Arabidopsis thaliana: one gene and its partners. The protein of the gene in region 1 interacts with the protein of each later gene in a pairwise test. Each region holds a gene or a part of one and is shown in the gene's direction. Other genes may lie near its edges.

Region 1 (3,955 bases):
ATGCTTAAACTTTCATAAAAAATTTAATGATTTCAGTAAAATGTTCTAGGGTTAGATTATATTATAATATAAATTTCAAGAAAAATTCATTCGTAAATTTTTTTCATTTATGAAATACCACAACTGCATGAAAACTAATCAATGGATAAATACAGACAAAAAAAATTACATCAATACGTGATCTTATAAAACAAAATCTGAATATATGTATAGGGTCTATAGCTAATTTCAATTTCGATTATATTATATGCAAACTTGATGTGGATTACTTATTTTTCGGTTAAGATGTTTTATCTATGGTGGATTTACATAAAACTCAACAAATAATTTTGCTAAGTCCTTAAATTAGTTAGACATATTGGTGAAACCGACACTAAAAATGTAGATAAAAATATTAATTTATACATTATCCAACAAGGATTTTATCCAAATCGTGGTATCTATGTGATCTAATGGTTATAAGTGGAATTTAGGTGTTCTAAACATGCTCAATTAGTCAATTATATACTTCACTTTCCAACTCAAAACAGCATATTCCGAGCGAACAATATGGATTTTTATACTATAACACCCAATTTCTAAATTAAACAAAAATTGCGACCATTATATATGGTTCTATCTTTTAAAAACCATGGAACTAAATGATGAAACTATGAAGTTTTTTTTTCACAAAAAAAAAAAAGAAACTATGAAGTTTTTTACCCTATATTTTTTTTAAAAAAGATACTATGAAGCTTTGAAGCAGCTACTACGAGTTGTGTTTGTTAATGTTTCTGAAAACAAAAATAAATTGAAAAAATCTTTAGTCAACATCAACTCGTGTTTTTTCTCTTCTCCCATCGTTATAACGTCTTTTTGACAAATGACAAATTGCGCCTAACTTCTACGATAGACACGTGGACACGTGTCGTCATGATGTAGTTTTGTCCGTATGGAAAACGCTTTCCATGTTGTAACCTAAGATACATTGAACAGTTCCTTTGTCCTTTCAACTTCGCTTTTTTCGAAGCTCTTTCCCTTACCCTACCACAACATTACGCGTGTCCTTCTTATTACAACATTTGGCACATATACATTTCAGAAAACCCGTCAACAAAAAACACGTGAAATAAAATATCTCTTCCTTTACCAGTTCACATATTTCATGGTTACTGTTCAATCATTTCGCCAAAAAATCTTTTTTTTTTTGGGTACAAATTTGGCCAAATAATTGTTCCTTTATTCTGAAATTCAGTCCCCTACACGAATATATAGACCACCAAAAAGTACATGGACGGTTCAATGTTGATTAAATCGACCAAGATAAAGTCAATAATGTTTTGTGGTTTAGATGTCGTCTGGTTACTATATTGACAATAAACTTTGTAAATAAAAAATATCCTTAAAAAAAAAAAAAAAATCCTAAAAGGAAAATCGAAAATCATTTTTTTAATTTGTTTTACATTACTTAAATAATTAAATAGACAATCCTAGGAAAAAAATCTCGATTAAATTAAATATTATATGTGAACTCCAAATGTCTAAGCAGCAAATTTCCAAACATTCATTTGAATCTTATTTTGATTGGAAAATACTTTTAAATTTAGCGGAACATTATTGATAAATAGATGAATAAACAAATGTTAATAAAAAAAACCATTTAAAAAAAATAGTACGAGGAAGAGCTAAATCTACTCATGTAGGTTCAATGAACTCAAGGGATTGCATAAATCACGACGATCTAACTGACACACGTGTCAGAATTCAAAAGTGTTTATAGATAAACACAAAAATGGGTCCCATATTCAGTACACACGTTAATCAGCGGCGGTGGATTCACCTATACACTGCGTCCATATATAAGTAGCACGAGACCCAAACATTATTGTCAAAAATAAGAAAGAAAGAAAAAAATATGGGTATCCAAGAAACTGACCCGTTAACGCAATTGAGTTTACCACCGGGTTTCCGATTTTACCCGACCGATGAAGAGCTTATGGTTCAATATCTCTGTAGAAAAGCAGCTGGTTACGATTTCTCTCTTCAGCTCATCGCCGAAATAGATCTTTACAAATTCGATCCATGGGTTTTACCAAGTAAGTATATACTAATTGAAACCCTTCTCAAAAAATGTTTATTTTTCTTAACAGAGATTCATAATTTTCTTGGTTTTTCTTCTTTTGTGATTTATAGATAAAGCATTATTTGGAGAAAAAGAATGGTATTTTTTTAGTCCTAGGGATAGAAAATATCCAAACGGGTCAAGACCTAACCGGGTTGCCGGATCGGGTTATTGGAAAGCTACGGGTACGGATAAAATAATCTCGACGGAAGGACAAAGAGTTGGTATTAAAAAAGCTTTGGTGTTTTACATCGGAAAAGCTCCTAAAGGTACTAAAACCAATTGGATCATGCATGAGTATCGTCTCATTGAACCTTCTCGTAGAAACGGAAGCACTAAGGTAACAAATAAAATCTAAACATTAATAAATACTATATCTTATATTTTCTTCTTGTAGTGTTTTGAATGACCTATAATTAATATTCTTGTTAATTTTCTTTAGTTGGATGATTGGGTTCTATGTCGAATATACAAGAAGCAATCAAGTGCACAAAAACAAGTTTACGATAATGGAATCGCGAATGCTAGAGAATTCAGCAACAACGGTACTTCGTCCACGACGTCGTCTTCTTCTCACTTTGAAGACGTTCTTGATTCGTTTCATCAAGAGATCGACAACAGAAATTTCCAGTTTTCTAACCCAAACCGCATCTCGTCGCTCAGACCGGACTTAACCGAACAGAAAACCGGGTTCCACGGTCTTGCGGATACTTCTAACTTCGATTGGGCTAGTTTTGCCGGTAATGTTGAGCATAATAACTCGGTACCGGAACTCGGAATGAGTCATGTTGTTCCTAATCTCGAGTACAACTGTGGCTACCTGAAGACGGAGGAGGAAGTCGAGAGCAGTCACGGGTTTAATAACTCGGGCGAGTTAGCTCAAAAGGGTTATGGTGTTGACTCGTTTGGGTATTCGGGGCAAGTTGGTGGGTTTGGGTTTATGTGATGATGAAATGCTGACGCAATAAAAATAAGTCGTTAATTTTTGTCCCGTGGCAAATCTTATATGTATTTGAATTTCAATTCTTTTGGGTTAAGAGGGAGACTCATAGATTTAGATGTAGATTTGTAATCTTTCATGCATAGAAAATTTGACGAATAGATTTCGTAACTTTATTTTGTTGCTGTTTGGTTATCTTTGTATTGGTATAAATTTAGTGGATTGAAATTGCATATTGATATATTGTTTAGTTGTGGCTAGCTATACATGTAAGTTTAATTGTTTGAGCTATCCAAAAGAATATATTTAACTATCTCATGCATTTTTAATATAAGCATACGTTATGTAATCATAAACCTACATACAAATCTTTTCTGTTTACGAATATATAGTAACACACCACAAATTGAGAGACTTACTGTATATACTGTATTTGAAAAAGGAGCGTTGGGTTAGCTGAACTTAGGTGTGTAACGTGGGCTTGCTTGTTTGACCATCTTGACAAGAGATTGTAGAGAAACAGTTTATACCGTACAAGTTTCAAACACATGTTTATTGTGGGTCGACTAAATGCGTTTGCAATTAGGGTATGAATGATAAGAGTAAAACACGGAATACTCGATTTTTTAACTGTACCTAGGAAAATCCGACCTAATAGTTTAAATTTAATTTCTGACATGAATCATGTAAAAGTTTAAGAACATCTCTAATAAAGAGTTTTCAAAACATTAAAATAACGAAATAAAGAATTGAAAGTACCAAAAATAACCATTTAGTTCAAAAGAGGATGAGAATACTCAAAAAGGGTTTTAAACTATTCGAGATGTTCTTATTTTGATTTAGAGTGCGCGTTAACACAATCTCTAGTACACATTAGCCACATTGTTACTGAATATATGTGGTTCGCTGATCAT
Region 2 (3,333 bases), on another chromosome or scaffold:
ATAGATTCAAGATCGTGTTCATATCTTCACTATCCACTCTTGAATCCCTGATGTCAAGATCCCAATAAATCCATCATTCGGGTATTAAATTTCTACCTAATATTAAAATTTGTTTTTTTTGTTTTGGTATATACTAAAGAAGACCCTTAACGTCACCACATTATCTATCACAGAAAATTGTATTAATATATTCTCTTTGTTTCTATACCAAGCAAAATATTTTACTATTTTACATTATACACTAAATAAGACCCACCATTGTTGATCAAATTGACTATACTTATCTTGAGCCGCCGGATTCAATTATTATAACTCCAACATCAATCTCACTATATATTATACTTGTCTCTATAATTCAACAATTCAAGCTTTATCTCTTTCTTTCTCTCCTCTCTATCTTTCTCTCACACTCATGGGTCTTCCAACAGATTTCAAAGAGCTTCAGATTCCAGGTTACGTACTAAAAACACTTTACGTCATCGGTTTCTTTAGAGACATGGTCGATGCTCTTTGTCCTTACATCGGTCTACCAAGTTTTCTTGACCACAACGAGACCTCTCGATCCGACCCGACCCGACTCGCTCTCTCCACGTCAGCAACTCTTGCCAACGAGTTAATCCCGGTGGTTCGTTTCTCCGATCTTTTAACCGATCCGGAAGATTGCTGCACGGTTTGCTTATCCGATTTTGTATCCGACGATAAGATTAGACAGCTGCCGAAGTGTGGACACGTGTTTCATCATCGTTGTTTAGACCGTTGGATCGTTGACTGTAATAAGATAACGTGCCCGATTTGTCGGAACCGGTTCTTACCGGAGGAAAAGTCCACGCCGTTTGATTGGGGTACTTCAGATTGGTTTAGAGATGAAGTGGAGAGTACCAACTAATAATGATGGTTTTACTTTTACTTTTTACTTTTTTCACGGTAATATTTTTCTACTGTATAATTCTTTCTTCCAAACTACTGTATAATTCAAGTATAAGATTATGTAATTGTGTATATTAGCATCAATCATCTTTCTTTGTTAAAGAACCGTCTGTATAAAATCTTCCAATGTAATCTGCTTTTCTTTTATTTGAATAAAAAAGTGGACAAATAAACACATCAAGTGTTATGGTATATCGCTATGTTAGGAATCTGAATTCATTTTCTTTTGAAGAAAAACAGTATTCATAATCTAATTCGTCTCTACCAAATAGAATTTGTAAACAGTTTTATACCGAAAAATATCTTAAAGAAACTCTTAATTTGTCTATTAAAATCCATGATACTATTTTTATTTGTACTTTATAAATTACAGAATGAATTAATACGTAAACTACCTTAGTCTTTGTCAAAATTGATATAAAGCAATATATTTTATTCAAAAAAAATAATAGTTTAGAAGATATTTCATCCACTATAAATCTATATGTCTTTCGACGAAAAAAACAAATTTTTGCCTTTCATAATATCTATCAAATGAATCTTTTTTATCATATTTAAATTCTTTCTGTTGTACTTTATATAACTACTACAAAATTGACATAGTTTGAATTAAAGCGGATAATCGACTTTTTAACTGATATTATTTGAGTTTTGCTTTGCTAAAATCATATACTATATTTAGGAAGAATTGTTAGAAATGCACATTTTCCATTACCACTTTTCAAAAATGTCATCTCTCTAAAACATTTATCAAAAATATCTTTAAAATCTGAAATATACCTAAATAAGTGTAACTTTATAAGAAAACTTAAACAAACTACTTTTATACGTTTGTAAAACTTTATAAATTTTTGGATGGAGTCTCTGAATAGTCGTTACCATTTTGAAGTAGTATTAAAGAACTTTTTTTTCTTTGAAAAATCCTTTAAACAGTGTTATTAAAATTCCTTGATGTCAATAGTCTTTAAACTGTGTTATTAAAATTCAACCATTCACCGTTTTGCAAAGAAAAGTATATAGAATATGTATTCTCTTTTGTTTTGACATCAATTTGGTTATACTTATCTTCAGCTGCCGGTTTGAATTGTACTCCAAACACAATTATAAATCTCACCATTTTTTATTATACACACTTTATTCTTGTCTCTATAGTTCCACATCTCAATCTAGCTCTCTTCTCTATCTTTCTCTAAATCATGGGTCTTCCTGAAGATTTCATCACCGAGCTTCAGATTCCAAGTTACATATTAAAGATACTTTACGTCATCGGTTTCTTTAGAGACATCGTCGATGCTCTTTGTCCTTACATTGGTCTACCTCGTTTTCTAGACCACAACGAGACCTCTGCACCCGATCTGACCCGACACGCTCTCTCTACGTCAGCGAGTCTTGCTAACGAGTTGATCCCGGTGGTTCGGTTCTCGGATCTTCCGACCGATCCGGAAGATTGTTGTACGGTTTGTTTGTCAGATTTTGAGTCCGACGATAAGGTTAGGCAGCTACCCAAGTGTGGACACGTGTTTCATCATTATTGTTTAGACCGTTGGATCGTTGACTACAACAAGATGAAATGTCCGGTTTGTCGGCACCGGTTCTTACCGAAAGAAAAGTACACGCAATCTGATTGGGGTTCTGGTTCAGATTGGTTTAGTGATGAAGTGGAAAGTACCAACTAATTGGTTTAATCTATGTCGGCAGAATATTTGTTGTATCAATTCCAGTATAACTCTATGTATATTAACATAGATCATCTTTTTGAAGGAACAACACTATATATATCTTTATACAAAAACAACACTATATCTAAGGATGTCAAAATGGATAACCCAACTCAACTTAACTCATAATCAAATGAGTTTAGGGTTAAATGAGTTATGGGTTGACCCAACTCATTTTGTTAAATGGGTTGGGTCAACCCATAACTTATTTAATTTGATGAGTTGAGTTGTTAAATGGGTTAACCTATTTAAATAGTAATTTAATTAATTATTATTATAAAATAATAATAAATAATTATCAATATTAATTCATTATCATCAAACTTAGGATATTTACCGATTCCACTTTTTACGGATTTACGTTTTCGACGAGAAAATCACGGGTTTACGTTTTTGGCGGAAAAATTATGGATTTACGTTTTTGGCAGGAAAATCTCGGGTTTACGTTTTTGGCGGGAAAATCTCGGGTTTACGTTTTTGGCGGAAAAATCACGGGTTTATGTTTTTTTGGTGAAAAAATTACGAGTTTACTTTTTCTCAATTTCATCGTTTGTATATTTAAGAAATTTGGAAAAATATTAATTTTATTAAATTGGTTTAGATGTGTTGATTAAACTTAAATTGACATTGGTTTAGAGATTTTAGTTGGTTTAATTCAATTTTACAAAACTTAATGGGTTAATTGGGT
Region 3 (6,688 bases), on another chromosome or scaffold:
GCTATATAATAGCTAGATCCAAAGAATAAGCTCATGCGCATAATCCGAAAGATTCATTTGCTACTTCTAGTGCATGTGCTTCAGATGTTCCATCCACTTTTTTTTGTCTATGATCATTTTTTACTGGTGAGCTTTGATTAGCAGCTTATCCAATGCTTCATCTTTTATCAAGAATTGTAGACAAGTAGCTTTTATAAAGTTTTAAAATTAATTTTTTTTTTGATAAACCCTATCAGCTGATCTGGTCGGTAGAATTGCACCTGTTTTATAGTAGACTTCTCTCCGAAAGACCACCATAAAGTTTGTCCCAAGTTTGGAGTGTTTTCCGAATTTCATGGATAATCAGACCGCCTGCATTTCTAACTACCATGTAAACCAGTTAGAATTTAGCCAAAACCCAACTAACACACTTTTCAGACAAATGTGTTTTTTTTCCAAAGATGGTCGAACTTAGATATAAAAATTTCACTCTTGACCAAAATTTTCTCTACCATATTGAGTAATTCAATTCTCTCTCTAAAAATTAGAGAAGTAACCCTCTAAACCAAATCATTTTAAAATGTATATAAAAACTCATTTAAATCATGATCAATTACAACATTATATAGAAATTCTCTCTTCTTCGAATCTCTCAAAGTAAGATGGTTATAATCATGTGTGTGGTTTCACTAATTAAACAAAGACACTTTGATTTTCACAATGAAATCAACATATGCCTTCAAAAACATTTCACATCCCAAAACAAATTTTAATATTCAAATACTTTTCAAAAATTAAAATTAAATTATGCTTTCAGGGGTATATGAAATTACTTTAATTTCCATATATCAAAGTTAAAATGTGCAACCATATTTGGATTTTATAAAATTTAAACAAAACATTAAATTTAAAATGATTTTTCTTAAAATATAAAAATATTATGTATGAATAGAATGAAATTTCTTCTTAAAAAAACGTTTCAAGAAGATAAAATTTATTTAAGGGGATGAACCTTATTATTTACAGTTCAGAAAATAATAAAGAAATTGATTGCTAATAATAAAATATTGACCAAAATTTAGAAGTAAATATTACACATAGACTTTTTGTTAACCCTAAAAAAACCTTTTTCGTTTTTTTCCTTTCTTTTATATATATAGGATAGGATAAAACCATTCATAAGTTAATAAATCTGCACACATATACTCTCTTTTTTATTACAGTTCACGCATTGATTGCAAACAATAAAACCAATATTGACCAATTAACTAGAAGTAAATATTATTAATAAAAATATTTTTTAACATGATGCACTCAAATAAAAAATATTTTTAGATTTTTTCTTTCTTTTGTATATAGGATAAAGAAAGACCATTCATAAATTGATAAATCTTGCCAGTACCAAATTTAGGTAACTAGTGATTCTGATCCACACGTATACTCTTTTTTTTTGTACATATATTTAAATGGGGAATCTAAGCTAATGGAAGAAAATAAACAATAAAAATAAAAAAGATAAACAGAAGGAGAAAGTAGACCAAAGTTACATGACAACTAGGAAACAAAAAGTTCGAAAAGAAACCGGATTTGTTCTGCTCGGTTAAGTTCCGGTTTAGTTCAGTATGAACAAATAAAAGTAAAACAAACGAGGGACGTGTGTATGGAAGAGGCAAAGGCTGAGAAACTTTTGGTTGGGACAATTTGCTTAAGTAATGACTAATGAATGACCCAAAAGAAAAATCCTATTAACTCTTTCTTCTTAAGCCAACTTGCTTTCTTCTTCAACATTACACATTACGTGTAACTGTAATTAATTAAAAATCTTTACACATTGAATTATTAGTTTTTGTTTATTCGTTGATTTAGGCATTTAGCAATTCAATTCAGTCTTTGGAAACTGTTCTTATGACTGACCCTTTTTAACTTTTTGATTCAATTTCCTTAAAATATTAGTTTTTATTTTGGGTTATATGGTAAATTACACATTGCCGTCTCGTCCTAATAATCCTCTTTTCTGTTCCCATTTGTGTTGTTGTGCTTTGCTTCCTTCCTTTTTCCTCATTCTCTCTTCTTCTCCTTCTTCCTTCTCCTCCACCACAAAGCGGTAGGTTTCTCTCTTCAACAATCGGTGAGTCTCTTTCGTTTTCATTAAGAATCTTCATAAAGTTTTGATTTTTATTGTTCTTAGATCGATTTATGTTCTGTATCTGTTTGGTTTTGGTTTTGATTTTGATTTTTGTGTCTTTTCTGGGTTCTATTGGGTTTTCAAAGCTCGATCGAAATAGATAAGAATCGGTTGGTGGGTTTTTTGAAAAATAGTTTTTTTTTTGAAATTTTGTGTCAAATTCTGTAGAATTGTTGTTGTGGTGAATTTATTATTCATCAGAAGGTAAAAAAATTATTTTTTGTTATTGGGTTTTAGATGTTTGAATCGGATCTTTACTTCTATGAGCTTGTTTTATGAGAAAGTTTGATTCTTTGAGGTTTTTGAATTGTTTTTTATTGTGATGATGCTTTATCTTCAAGCTGTGGGTTTCTTTTGTCTTTGCTTTTACCTTGCTGTTTCAATACATCTTTGCTTGGTATTGAGGATTTGTGAAACTTCATACGCTGTTGCATCTATGGGTAGTTGATATGTCATTGATGAGGCAGTGCTTATTTTGATATTTCTCTTGTTTTTCTGAATTGCCATTGTGGTGGTAGTTGAGTAAAATGTTTTTCACTCTTTTCCTTGTTTCAAAATTGGCATGCTTGTTACGTGGTCCTGGATTTTGTTTGTACCTCATTTTCATTGACGCTTTGTTTCGAAGTTGGCAGTTAGGTGTCAATTTGATAATTTAGACTTGAAGTTCTTTTGTGTTTAGAATGGTTGATCATATGAATTTTCTATCGCATCTGTCCTCTTATTTTTTAAGCTTGTTAATAACTCATGTGTCATTAGTTTCCTACTGAATCATTTGTGTTTTAGTTAGGCGTCGCATCTAGAAGTAAGTTGCATTTAGTAGTAGTTGCAGCGGTCTTGCTTTGAGTGACTTTTGCACCTTGTGCTCTTCTAGGTGAAGCAGATTATATGACTGTATATGCAATCTCAGGGTGCCATTTATTATTACAATTGTAGGAGCTATGTTTTGATTGAGTGTGTTTATATGTTTCTTATTACAGTTGACATCGTGTAGAAGCCTTTTCCTTGTCTTTGTTACTGAAAGATCTACTGTCTTTGTTGTTTTGCAGTCTCCCCATTAGGCACATTGTTGAGGGCAGGGTAGTCTCGTGAGTTCTCTTCTCCTGAGTGTAACTGTGGTTAAAAGCTTAGCCAAGATGCAGGGGGAGAGGGCCAGTCTTGGCTATTTATCAGAGGCCTTGAACTTTGAGCATGGTTCTTCTTCAAGTAATGGTGTGATAGATCATTGGGAGAATATTCACAGTCTTGGTGATAATGACTTGCAGGATTACATGATTGCAAATTCTGAATCAAATACTTCGCTTGCAAACTCAGTTTATCACGAGCAACAGGGTTTACGCAGATTTAGCCTTGGTGAGGCTAGCTCTAGTGGCACGAAGGATGAAGCTTCCAGTCACAATGAGCAACGAATGGAAACAAGATGCTTTGACGGACGAGGAAATGAAATAATTGATTTAGACCCAGTGTTTGCGCAGCCATCAGGCACAAATCAACCTGTTCAGAATGTCAATCTGAATGCAGAGTATATAGAAATTCACGAGGATATTAATCCATATAGAGGTCGGTCTGGCTTCATAGAAGCTAATGGACCAGGGACCAGGGTCTCACAACCTGGCAGATCTTTTGAAGAGAACGGTGTTGGAACAGGTTCTTCTGTAGAGGGACGTCGTGCATCCTGCAAAAGAAAAGCTCTTGAAGGCAGTATTAGTCAATCTTCTTCAGGAGGTTATCATGATTTCCAGCGTGGAGAAAGCAGTTCGTGGACCCCAGGTTCTACGGTTTTTAGGCCAGGAAATGGTTTAAACATATCTGGCTCCCTTGACAATGGACCAAGAGGAATGGTCTCCGGTACTGTACCAAATTTTCCTGTTTCTGCACCAAATTTTCCTGTTTCTGCCATTGCAGAGAGCTCCAGTAGAAATATATGCGTCAGGAGTAATCCCTCAGATCATCAAGAAACTGTAAACCCATCTACCTTTGCTGCGGGAACTGTTGTCAGGCGGCCTGTCCCTCCATCCCAGTTGAACTTGTCAAGACACTTACCAGCAGATCAGCATTCATTGGACTTGAGACCTGGACAGTCTTTTGTCGTTTCTCGTAACCCAAATTCTACTCCTGTGAGCATACCACCTGGTTCAAGGACTATGCTACCACCATTTCGGTGGACTGGGAGCTCACTAGTGGGTGGAACATCGAACTCTACTGCGCCCGTTGAGAGAAATCTTCATCTAGATGAAACCAGGTCAAGAAGCATACCCGGGAATACTCTTGAGATTCCCATGTTTGCAGCTCCTGAGGTAGGAAATTTTGCCCGTAGTCAGAGTAGCAGAAATGTAACAAATGGAAACCTGAATAGTGCATCATCAGTGTCCAGGACAGGCTCAACAACAAGTGTTCCACCACCACCACCACCATCTTCTAATCTAGCGTGGACTTCTTACCAGAATTCACCACATTATCAAAGAAGAAGGACTGAAAGGTCTGAACTTGCACGTAGGTCCTTGCTTTCTTCCCTTGCAGCAGATGCTACAAACCAGAGATCTGGTGATCATCCAACACTTCGTTCGTTGGCCCCTCCTGCCTCTTCGGATGGGCTTGTGCTTCAGCCTGGTGGTGATAATAGTCAGATGCATAATCGGGCTTACTCGAGAGCAGGTCCGTTGTTTGATAGGCAAGGGGATAGTGTGGTTGGTATTCCTCATCCTTTGCGGGCCTTGGCAGCTGCAAGCAGAGGAAGAAGCAGACTTATGGTGTCCCAGGTCAGTCGATACAAATTCTATTGGCATGTAGCCTTTAACGTGGATGGAATTTGTTAACTTTGGCTCATTCAGTTGCGCATAAATACCATTTGTTTGTTCTTCAGCAGTCACTCAAATAGAACTAACAATACGTTTCTCTTTCCGACAGATGCAGAATGTCTTGGATGTCATGCGTAGGGATGCTAATAATAACAACTTGCGGCTTGAGGTTAGTTTTTCCTGATTGTAGCGAAGTTATCTAAATTCGAACTTGTCTTGTGTCTGTCTCTGTTGATTTCTAGATGAACTAGCCTAATAACTGGAACATAAATAATCTGGATGCTTGTTTTCCAGGACGTTATGCTTCTAAATCACTCAGTACTATTTGATGGGGCTACTGGTCATGACCGGTATAGAGACATGCGACTTGATGTGGACAACATGTCATATGAGGTAAATTAAAAACCATAGTGAACCATAAATCTTTGTCTGAGTCACGTTAAATCACTAAATCTAACTCCTTTTGGTTCATAAACTGTAGGAATTGTTGGCACTAGAAGAGCGGATTGGAGATGTTTGTACCGGTGTAAACGAGGAAACCATATCAAACCGGTTAAAGCAACGAAAATACAAAAGCAACACAAAATCTCCACAAGATGCAGAGCCATGCTGTGTTTGTCAGGTAAAAATATACTAGTTACTGAAATAGCATTTAAAAGGTATAAGATTGTTTTTCGTCCGAGTATGAATGGTGAAAACTTGGTGCAGGAGGAATACACCGAAGGAGAAGACATGGGGACACTAGAATGTGGGCATGAATTCCATAGCCAATGCATTAAAGAATGGCTGAAACAGAAGAATCTTTGCCCAATCTGCAAGACTACAGGCTTGAACACCGCGAAGAAGCGGAGGATAGCATGATGATTTCTCGAAAGAGCTTTTTTTTTTTCTTAACTATTCAATTTTATAATCAAAAATGAAAGAAACAGAAGGTACCCTCAAGCCCCCACACCATTGCAGAGCCAGGCAAGTTTGTCCCCAATTTTTTTTAAAAAAAAGATAGAATTTGTTCGTATTTATAATCTGAGTATGAAAGATGGAAAGATTTGGATTGAAGGGAAAAGATAAAGGGTGGTAGGGAAATGTTGTTTTTTTCTTTTATGGATTTGTTTGGATAATTTAATTTTACCCATTGTCAATTAAGTTTATGAATCCTTTGAAAGAAGCAGGAAGTTGAATCAGCCGATTTTGAGAGAATACTTACTTTGAAAGCCCATATGTTGTTTTGAGTTACCTAGTTTGCTCTAATTGGTTACAAAAGTTTTAGGATGCAAAAATGTTGCAATTTTGGAGAAACAAAATCAAGTTGGATATGTGCAAATGGTTGTCCCTTAAGAGGCAGAGTAATAAGGTGAACAAGTTGAGTAAAAATTTAGTTGGAAGAATAAAATGAATAGATTGAGAGAAATAAGTTGTGTGTTGTTTAACTTGTTATGCTCGTATGATGGGACTTTAAGAAAAGAGATTTTATGGTAAATAGTAGAACTGTAGAGGAATGCAAAGGATTACACGTACGCTTTGAATGGTAGATATGGGCAAAGCGGACTAAAACAGTAACGGATTATAGTTTATGAATGGTAAACGAAAATCTCTTCAAACAAATGGATTTGTCTGTCCTAACCATCACAACCATTCCGGACTACAATATTTTTCTCAATTTTGTTACTCTAAATTAGAAATGTTTTGCATATATACTAAGGAGAACAAATCAAAAATCAAACTCTATTTG
Region 4 (7,964 bases), on another chromosome or scaffold:
GCTTCAGCTCAGCAATCTTCATTCTCCGTTGAAGCTGAGGAAACAGAAATTCAGAATATTCAGAATCTAAAGAATGCAATAAAACAAATTGAGAGGTAATAATAAGGTTTGAGCTATACCTTTTTCTTCTTATTAGAGATGCCTTTCTCTTTGTTCTGATTATCCTGCTCGTCGTCGTCTGAATCAGAATCAGAGTTAACCTTCTTTTTGACATCTTCTTTCTCCTCAGACTCATCTTTCGTACCGTCTTCTTCAGAGGCAAGAGGTTCGCGGAAGTTGAACTTCTCGAAGATTTCCTTAAACTCATCGTTAAAACCATCTTCAAATTCAGCTTGCTCTGGAACATACTCTATCACAATCTGCTCACAAACCTATCAAAGAGAAACATATACCAAAAATCATCAGCAAACGATAAACAATCACAAACCCTAAGAAAAACCCTAGAACACCTCTCCATGAATCGAGTACGAGAAGATGAGCACAAAGTTAACCTGTGGCTGGGGATCTGTATTCTCTTTGGATTCAGAAGCAGCAGAAACGTCCGATGCATCTACATCGGCTTGGGATGCTTTGTTGTTCTTCTTCTGCTTCCGTCTGCGGCGGCGACGGTCAATCTCACGAGATTTCTTAGAGGAAGCGGAGGTGTTTCCGTTGGAGACATCACCGTTAGAAACGACGCTATGAACGAGTGCGACGGTTGAATCGGCGGTCATATTCGGTGTTCTCTCTGAATCGGTGATGTGAAAAGAGAGATTGAGAGGAGAAGGAAGAACGACGGAAATCGAGGATATACGTATATGAACAAGAGTCGGTTTGCTGAAATTCTCTCTGATTCTATTTCCGGTTTGGCATAAGGCCCATATAAGTAGAAGACGAATATATCTGCCAATAGGCCCAACACTTTATATTTTTCTTCGAGTGTAAGAATTGTTTTGTAGAAGACCATCTACTAGTAACTAATAGAAAATTTCAAAGGAAATGTATGGAACAATATTCAAACACTACTATAAATGTTGGCACGAGTTAACTCTACATTATTCGTAAAAATGTTCTATTGAACTTTTAAAATTATAAAATTACAGTTTACACAATGTCTTGAAATTTTGAAGAAAGTTATAAGTATCAAAATTGTATATATGTGGGTATTTGAGATTTAAATAAAATTCTCTGACTAACAACAAAACTTTTAATAAAATTTAAATGTTTTAGTTTATTATTCGTAAAAATTTAGTTTTTACATGAATTGAGGTAATTTTTATTCACTTTGAGATTTTATTAATGTGAGCACGACTCCCGGTGTATGTTATCGGTTGTTTATTATGCAATTAGAACAATATACATTGTGCCTTTTTAGTTTCAAAATTGTTTTCATAAGACATTAGGAAAGAACACGGAAAAAAAAGACATTAGGAAAGAATTTTGTAACGGCTTTTGTACGTAACGGTTATTTTTAAACAAGGAAAAAAATACTGTCTATAAAAAAAAATTATCTTTACGTAGTTGTGTATTTTAGAAAACAAAATAAATCATTTTTTATTTACTAAACTATTATTTTATAAGGAAAAGATTGAAAAGAGTAGGGGAAAGATATATGTGAAAAAATATTCATGCTTGGTAGATAAAAAATATTTCACAAATAAAGAGACAAGTATATGTCAAAAATATCATGTCTTTTGAATAAATAATCTTCTAAAAAAAAAGAATTAGATGAACTATAAATATCTTGTGGTATATGAATCCTTGACACTGTAAAAATCAAAACATGAGATCAGAAACACAAGTATAAAAGTACATTACAAGTACGGTATGAATCGAAAAAAAAACAGAATTTGACAGGTTTTGAGCTGATAAAAACTATTTCAGGCTTTTATTAATTTTTAAAAATAGTATTAATTGTTTTTAAAATAAGACATAAATAAAAAAAAGAACGGTTAAAGAAAATGAAGGGGCCCTTCGTGTTTTGTTTTCCCTTAAAAAAACCAAGGACAAAGGCATAATGCCGTATTCACAATCTTGACTCTTCGTTATCTGGATCTAGGGTTTCTCTCGATTTTTAGAACGCCACAAAACCTAATAAACTTTTCCCAGATACACAAACAAACTCATCATCAACCAAGGAAGAAGAAAGAAACTAGGGTTTTTTTTTGTGGATTCATCATCGGTATTTTACAGATCTATATTCAAAGGGAACAAAATCTTAAGGAACAAACACTAAATTTTCATTCTTTCTCTTATTTACCCATTTATCAAAAATCTTCCTTTTGTTTTCCTGATTCTTGCTAAAGAAAAAAACTCGGATCCAATTCATAAACTAGTGTGGACTGGTGATCAATCTATCAATTCTGGCCAAGGGACAACAAAAAGTTTAGATTTTGATGAACCAATTTTGAGATGAGACAATAGACATCCATTGATCTGTAAACTTTAAGAAGGAGAAGGAGAAAAGAAAGTATGTATAGTAATAATAGAGTAGAAGTGTTTCATGGTGATGGAAGACTTGGAGAATTGGAGATATACCCTTCAAGGGAATTGAATCAGCAACAAGATGATGTGATGAAGCAGAGGAAGAAGAAACAGAGGGAAGTAATGGAGCTAGCCAAGATGGGAATCAGAATAAGCCACTTTTCTCAATCTGGCGAGAGGTGTCCTCCTCTTGCAATACTTACTACAATTTCATCTTGTGGCCTTTGTTTCAAATTAGAAGCTTCACCTTCTCCAGCTCAGGAGTCACTCAGTTTATTCTACTCGTCCTGTCTCAGGGACAACAAGGTATCTAAACCTTACGAACCTTTAAGCCTTACTCAGACTTAGATTTTATCAACTAAAACTCAAAAACACTTAATGATAAATAGGATTTTGTGTCATTATTTAACTTCCTTAATGTCAGAGCTGCATCAAGTTTGGGGCTTTAGAAACTTTTAGTAGAGTGGGGGTTTGAATCTTGTGTTGTTTGTTATGTTACAAATTGTCCTCATATTTGTGAGTTTTGGATTTTTGCTTCTTGCAGACAGCAGTAATGCTCTTGGGTGGAGAAGAGCTCCATTTGGTTGCTATGTACTCGGAAAATATCAAGAATGACCGTCCTTGTTTCTGGGCATTTAGTGTTGCTCCTGGAATTTACGATTCCTGTCTTGTTATGTTGAATCTTAGATGTCTGGGTATTGTCTTTGATCTTGATGAAACCCTTGTAGTGGCGAATACCATGCGCTCATTTGAGGATAAGATTGACGGGTTTCAGCGGAGAATAAACAACGAGATGGACCCTCAACGCCTTGCCGTTATAGTGGCTGAGATGAAGCGTTATCAAGATGACAAAAATCTATTGAAGCAATATATTGAAAGTGACCAGGTTGTTGAAAACGGGGAGGTGATAAAGGTGCAATCTGAAATTGTTCCTGCCTTGTCTGACAACCATCAGCCTCTTGTTCGCCCTCTGATAAGGTTGCAAGAGAAGAATATTATTCTGACTCGCATTAACCCAATGGTATGCAAGTCTTGAATCAGTATATGTCTGTTAGTTTCTGTTCCCCGTATACATATATGTTTAGTGCTTACTACACATTTAAAAGACAATAAGTGGTGGTGTGCTGTGTGGTGGATTTCCTTGAATACTTGTGGTATAACCTTTTATTTTTCATTTGCTCCTTTCTGGAGCACCTAGATTTTTCTGAATTCTTGTGGCTGAATCTGCATTCCTATATTTACACACAGATTCGTGATACAAGTGTTCTTGTGAGAATGAGGCCCTCATGGGAGGAACTTCGAAGCTATTTGACAGCAAAAGGGCGTAAGCGTTTTGAAGTATATGTTTGCACGATGGCTGAAAGAGATTACGCCTTAGAGATGTGGAGGCTCCTTGATCCAGAAGGGAATTTGATAAACACAAATGACTTGCTTGCTCGCATCGTTTGTGTGAAATCTGGTATACTTTTTGGTATCTTATACCTGCTTATATTTCATCATGGTAAAACTTCTTACAAGCTTGTAATTAACCACCACAGGTTTTAAAAAGTCACTGTTCAATGTGTTTCTCGATGGAACCTGCCATCCAAAGATGGCATTGGTAATTGATGATCGATTGAAAGTTTGGGATGAGAAGGATCAGCCGAGGGTACATGTGGTTCCTGCATTCGCTCCCTATTATTCTCCTCAAGCTGAAGTAAGTATAATTTTTACCTAGTTGAAATTGGTTATGAAAAATGCAGAAGCATGTGAATTTGATAAGAATATTATTAATCAAAAGAATCACAAGTCATTTAGAATGGAACAAATGAAGCCTTATAAGACCTAACATAAGCTAGCTTTGTGGTGAGTTCTACGCAAGGGGTCTTTGTGGGCCTGGTTTGTTGCACAATTTCTACCAGAAGTGATAGTCTTGACTTTTCAGTAATAAATGGTGTCACATATAGCTCGTTTCCTTTTCTTGTAGGCTGCTGCAACACCAGTACTATGTGTTGCCAGGAACGTTGCCTGTGGTGTCAGAGGTGGATTTTTCAGGTAAGATGTCAGATTTGATAATAGTAGTTTGTTTTCTTGACATCTCTACTGATCAAGGGTGCTTCCTTAGTACATACTTACGGTGAAATGGTATTTGAACTTGGTTACAGGGATTTTGATGATAGTCTGCTACCAAGGATTGCTGAAATTTCTTATGAGAATGATGCTGAGGATATTCCTTCTCCGCCTGATGTCAGCCATTATTTGGTGTCGGAGGTTAGTCGTGATACTTGTTAGCGATTGGGAGTAGATAATTTTTTGGTTCTCTTCCAGGCAGTCTGGGAGCTTATTTTACTCACCTTTGAAACTGCTTCCCAGTAACTCATTCTTTTTTCAATATAGGATGATACATCGGGTTTAAATGGGAACAAAGATCCACTTTCCTTTGACGGGATGGCTGATACTGAAGTGGAGAGAAGACTGAAGGTGATTTACATTTTGAGGCTCTATTGTTACTGAGTTATTGTGGTGATCCATTAAAGATGCCAACTCCAGTAAACATGGCTTCTGGTTTAAATTTTCTGCCCAATGTTGAAATTCAAATACATTTTTCCGTTTTATTCAGGAGGCAATTTCTGCATCTTCAGCTGTCCTTCCGGCGGCAAATATAGATCCGAGGATAGCTGCTCCCGTTCAGTTCCCCATGGCTTCTGCTTCTTCTGTTTCAGTTCCAGTACCAGTACAAGTCGTGCAACAAGCAATACAACCTTCAGCTATGGCCTTTCCAAGTATTCCATTTCAACAACCTCAACAACCGACATCAATAGCTAAACACTTGGTTCCTTCAGAACCAAGCTTGCAGAGTTCTCCTGCTAGAGAGGAAGGTGAGGTACCTGAATCAGAATTAGATCCAGATACTAGGAGGAGACTCCTCATATTGCAGCATGGACAAGATACTAGGGATCCTGCTCCAAGTGAACCTTCATTTCCTCAGAGACCTCCAGTTCAAGCTCCACCCTCACATGTGCAATCAAGAAATGGCTGGTTTCCTGTTGAGGAGGAGATGGATCCTGCTCAAATTCGTCGAGCAGTCTCAAAAGAATATCCGTTGGATTCTGAAATGATTCATATGGAAAAGCACAGGCCTCGTCATCCATCATTTTTTTCTAAGATTGATAACTCAACTCAGTCTGACAGGATGCTTCATGAGAATCGCAGGCCGCCAAAGGAGGTACCACTAATCTTATTTAACCTATGATTTTACAGTTGTCAGTTTTTTTGGTCTTTATACTGCTGTACGACGTTTAGTGCTCACTGTGATATATTTGCAGTCTCTCCGGAGAGATGAACAGTTACGTTCAAATAACAATCTACCTGACTCTCATCCTTTCTATGGTAAGCCATCAAAGTTATTTGTTCTTGTATCATTTTGTTCTGAAGATAAATCACTGACTTGGGTATTGGGATGGACTCTCTAGGGGAGGATGCGTCTTGGAATCAATCTTCCTCTAGGAACAGTGATCTTGACTTCCTACCTGAACGAAGTGTCTCAGCAACGGAGACTTCAGCTGATGTTCTACACGGAATTGCTATCAAATGTGGAGCTAAGGTATGTAAATATCATCATGATTACCATTAATTCCATACGTGAGTTGATGTGTTATTATTCCATGACATTGTAGGTGGAGTACAAACCAAGTTTAGTTTCTAGTACAGATTTGCGGTTCTCTGTTGAGGTACGTATTGCTCTTAGACGTATCTGTTTGTATGGTGTCAGTAATTTTGGTGGAACCTTATGCTCTTTGAGATCCTATATTTCCTTTGAGTGAGGTTACTTTGTTGATTGTGTCAACTGTACATTAAATCTATGTTTTTTTTGCAGGCTTGGCTTTCTAATCAAAAAATTGGAGAAGGGATTGGCAAATCGAGAAGAGAAGCCCTGCATAAGGCTGCTGAAGCTTCTATACAGAATTTAGCTGGTAAGACTTTCTGACTCATGATTTACTCGTGTCTTAATCTTTGTCTGCAGAGATACTATTTGAGATAGATTGTTTGAATCTGCTATATTGGGTGAATGTTATTTGTTTGATGTTTCTAAACCATCTTCACAATATTGGGTGTAGATCTCAATTTTTCAACCAATCTGTTTAGTCTGTAATATTAATAGATCTATTGTAGCTTCGTGTTGGTCCTCATAAATGGGTTTATATCAATGAGTATGAGTACTGCCACCACAAACGGTTGCGTGTCAGTATGTTATGATATCAAAACTGTGGGTCCCTTCCCTTTACAAGGGTGAGAGCTATCTTGGATTTGTGGCAGTTGGCTCAGGTTTAATATTGGTCGGCTTCATTCACATTGTTCTTATAATGAGGCTTTAAACTCATTGTTGTTCGTTTGTTTCCAGTTTCTTGAGTTCTTACTCCTTTTTTTGCAGATGGATATATGCGTGCAAATGGTGACCCAGGGCCCAGCCACAGAGATGCTACCCCCTTCACCAATGAAAATATAAGTATGGGAAACGCAAATGCGCTTAATAATCAGCCATTTGCTAGAGATGAAACAGCGTTGCCAGTTTCTTCTAGACCTACAGATCCGAGATTAGAAGGTTCTATGAGGCACACTGGCTCCATTACTGCACTCAGGGAATTGGTATGTATCTCCTTAGTGCGGATACTGTTGATTGATATGGTTGCTTGCTTACATTCACATATTGTTTTTTCTCATCTTTGATTCATCTGTAACCAAATTCCAGTGTGCATCGGAGGGTCTTGAGATGGCTTTTCAATCTCAGCGTCAGCTTCCATCTGACATGGTCCACAGAGATGAATTACATGCTCAGGTTCGCACCCCTAAAAGATTAGAACACAGAAGTGTTAAATTTTTTAAAAAAAAAATCTAAGATAGACAATTTTCAGTTAAAAGAGAAAGATTCATGATTTTCTCTTCAGGGCCATCAGTATATTTCATATCTATTCAATTGGTTTGAAGTATCTAGAGTGTAGACCCCTCTTGATACTCTTTGTAATATATTTCAGGTTGAAATAGATGGGCGTGTTGTAGGGGAAGGAGTTGGATCGACATGGGACGAAGCTAGAATGCAGGTAACTCAACTAAATTCTTGCCTCGGGTTTATTCTGATCCCATCTTTTCCCTTCTCTGACGTTCTTACCTTTAGGCTGCTGAGAGAGCACTGTCCAGTGTGAGATCAATGCTTGGTCAACCTCTGCATAAACGACAAGGATCTCCACGGTTTGTTCTTGACTATATCTATATGATTATCAAAATAAAAATGTCAGTTGATATATTTTAAAAACCGGTTTCTTGTTGATGTTTAGATCATTTGGTGGGATGTCAAACAAGCGATTAAAGCCGGACTTTCAACGGTCTCTGCAACGGATGCCATCTTCGGGAAGATACTCTTAAAAATAAAACCATGTGAAGAACGAACCACATTCTACATTAATTCCATTCTCTTGGTAAAAACAGCTACCAAGACGAATTCTTTGTCAAGTTCCTTTCTTCGC

Evidence for each region.
Region 2: the proteins of NAC019 (region 1) and RHA1A interact in a two-hybrid assay, tested with the Arabidopsis thaliana proteins (one study listed by BioGRID).
Region 3: the proteins of NAC019 (region 1) and AT5G42940 interact in a two-hybrid assay, tested with the Arabidopsis thaliana proteins (one study listed by BioGRID).
Region 4: the proteins of NAC019 (region 1) and CPL1 interact in a two-hybrid assay, tested with the Arabidopsis thaliana proteins (one study listed by BioGRID).

The regions. Positions count from the first base shown.
Region 1 is NC_003070.9:19,696,384-19,700,338, reverse strand, and holds NAC019 (NAC domain containing protein 19), read left to right. Parts: upstream 1-1,856; 5' UTR 1,857-1,894; coding exon 1,895-2,075; intron 2,076-2,172; coding exon 2,173-2,441; intron 2,442-2,543; coding exon 2,544-3,047; 3' UTR 3,048-3,416; downstream 3,417-3,955. UniProt on the Arabidopsis thaliana protein: Transcription factors that bind specifically to the 5'-CATGTG-3' motif.
Region 2 is NC_003075.7:6,905,654-6,908,986, forward strand, and holds RHA1A (RING-H2 finger A1A), read left to right. Parts: upstream 1-1,834; 5' UTR 1,835-2,123; coding exon 2,124-2,603; 3' UTR 2,604-2,789; downstream 2,790-3,333. Other genes in the region: RHA1B (RING-H2 finger A1B), read left to right, coding at 413-886. UniProt on the Arabidopsis thaliana protein: Probable E3 ubiquitin-protein ligase that may possess E3 ubiquitin ligase activity in vitro.
Region 3 is NC_003076.8:17,215,781-17,222,468, reverse strand, and holds AT5G42940 (RING/U-box superfamily protein), read left to right. Parts: upstream 1-1,796; 5' UTR 1,797-2,107; intron 2,108-3,210; 5' UTR 3,211-3,297; coding exon 3,298-4,920; intron 4,921-5,068; coding exon 5,069-5,128; intron 5,129-5,253; coding exon 5,254-5,352; intron 5,353-5,440; coding exon 5,441-5,581; intron 5,582-5,667; coding exon 5,668-5,820; 3' UTR 5,821-6,140; downstream 6,141-6,688. UniProt on the Arabidopsis thaliana protein: Probable E3 ubiquitin-protein ligase that may possess E3 ubiquitin ligase activity in vitro.
Region 4 is NC_003075.7:11,509,060-11,517,023, forward strand, and holds the start of CPL1 (C-terminal domain phosphatase-like 1), read left to right. Parts: upstream 1-1,929; 5' UTR 1,930-2,451; coding exon 2,452-2,769; intron 2,770-3,007; coding exon 3,008-3,484; intron 3,485-3,711; coding exon 3,712-3,922; intron 3,923-4,001; coding exon 4,002-4,159; intron 4,160-4,429; coding exon 4,430-4,497; intron 4,498-4,607; coding exon 4,608-4,713; intron 4,714-4,839; coding exon 4,840-4,923; intron 4,924-5,062; coding exon 5,063-5,668; intron 5,669-5,768; coding exon 5,769-5,832; intron 5,833-5,915; coding exon 5,916-6,046; intron 6,047-6,119; coding exon 6,120-6,173; intron 6,174-6,319; coding exon 6,320-6,416; intron 6,417-6,874; coding exon 6,875-7,089; intron 7,090-7,192; coding exon 7,193-7,279; intron 7,280-7,475; coding exon 7,476-7,541; intron 7,542-7,615; coding exon 7,616-7,689; intron 7,690-7,775; coding exon 7,776-7,863; 3' UTR 7,864-7,964. Other genes in the region: AT4G21660 (proline-rich spliceosome-associated (PSP) family protein), read right to left, coding at 1-34, 120-371, 492-713. UniProt on the Arabidopsis thaliana protein: Processively dephosphorylates 'Ser-5' but not 'Ser-2' of the heptad repeats YSPTSPS in the C-terminal domain of the largest RNA polymerase II subunit (RPB1). This promotes the activity of RNA polymerase II.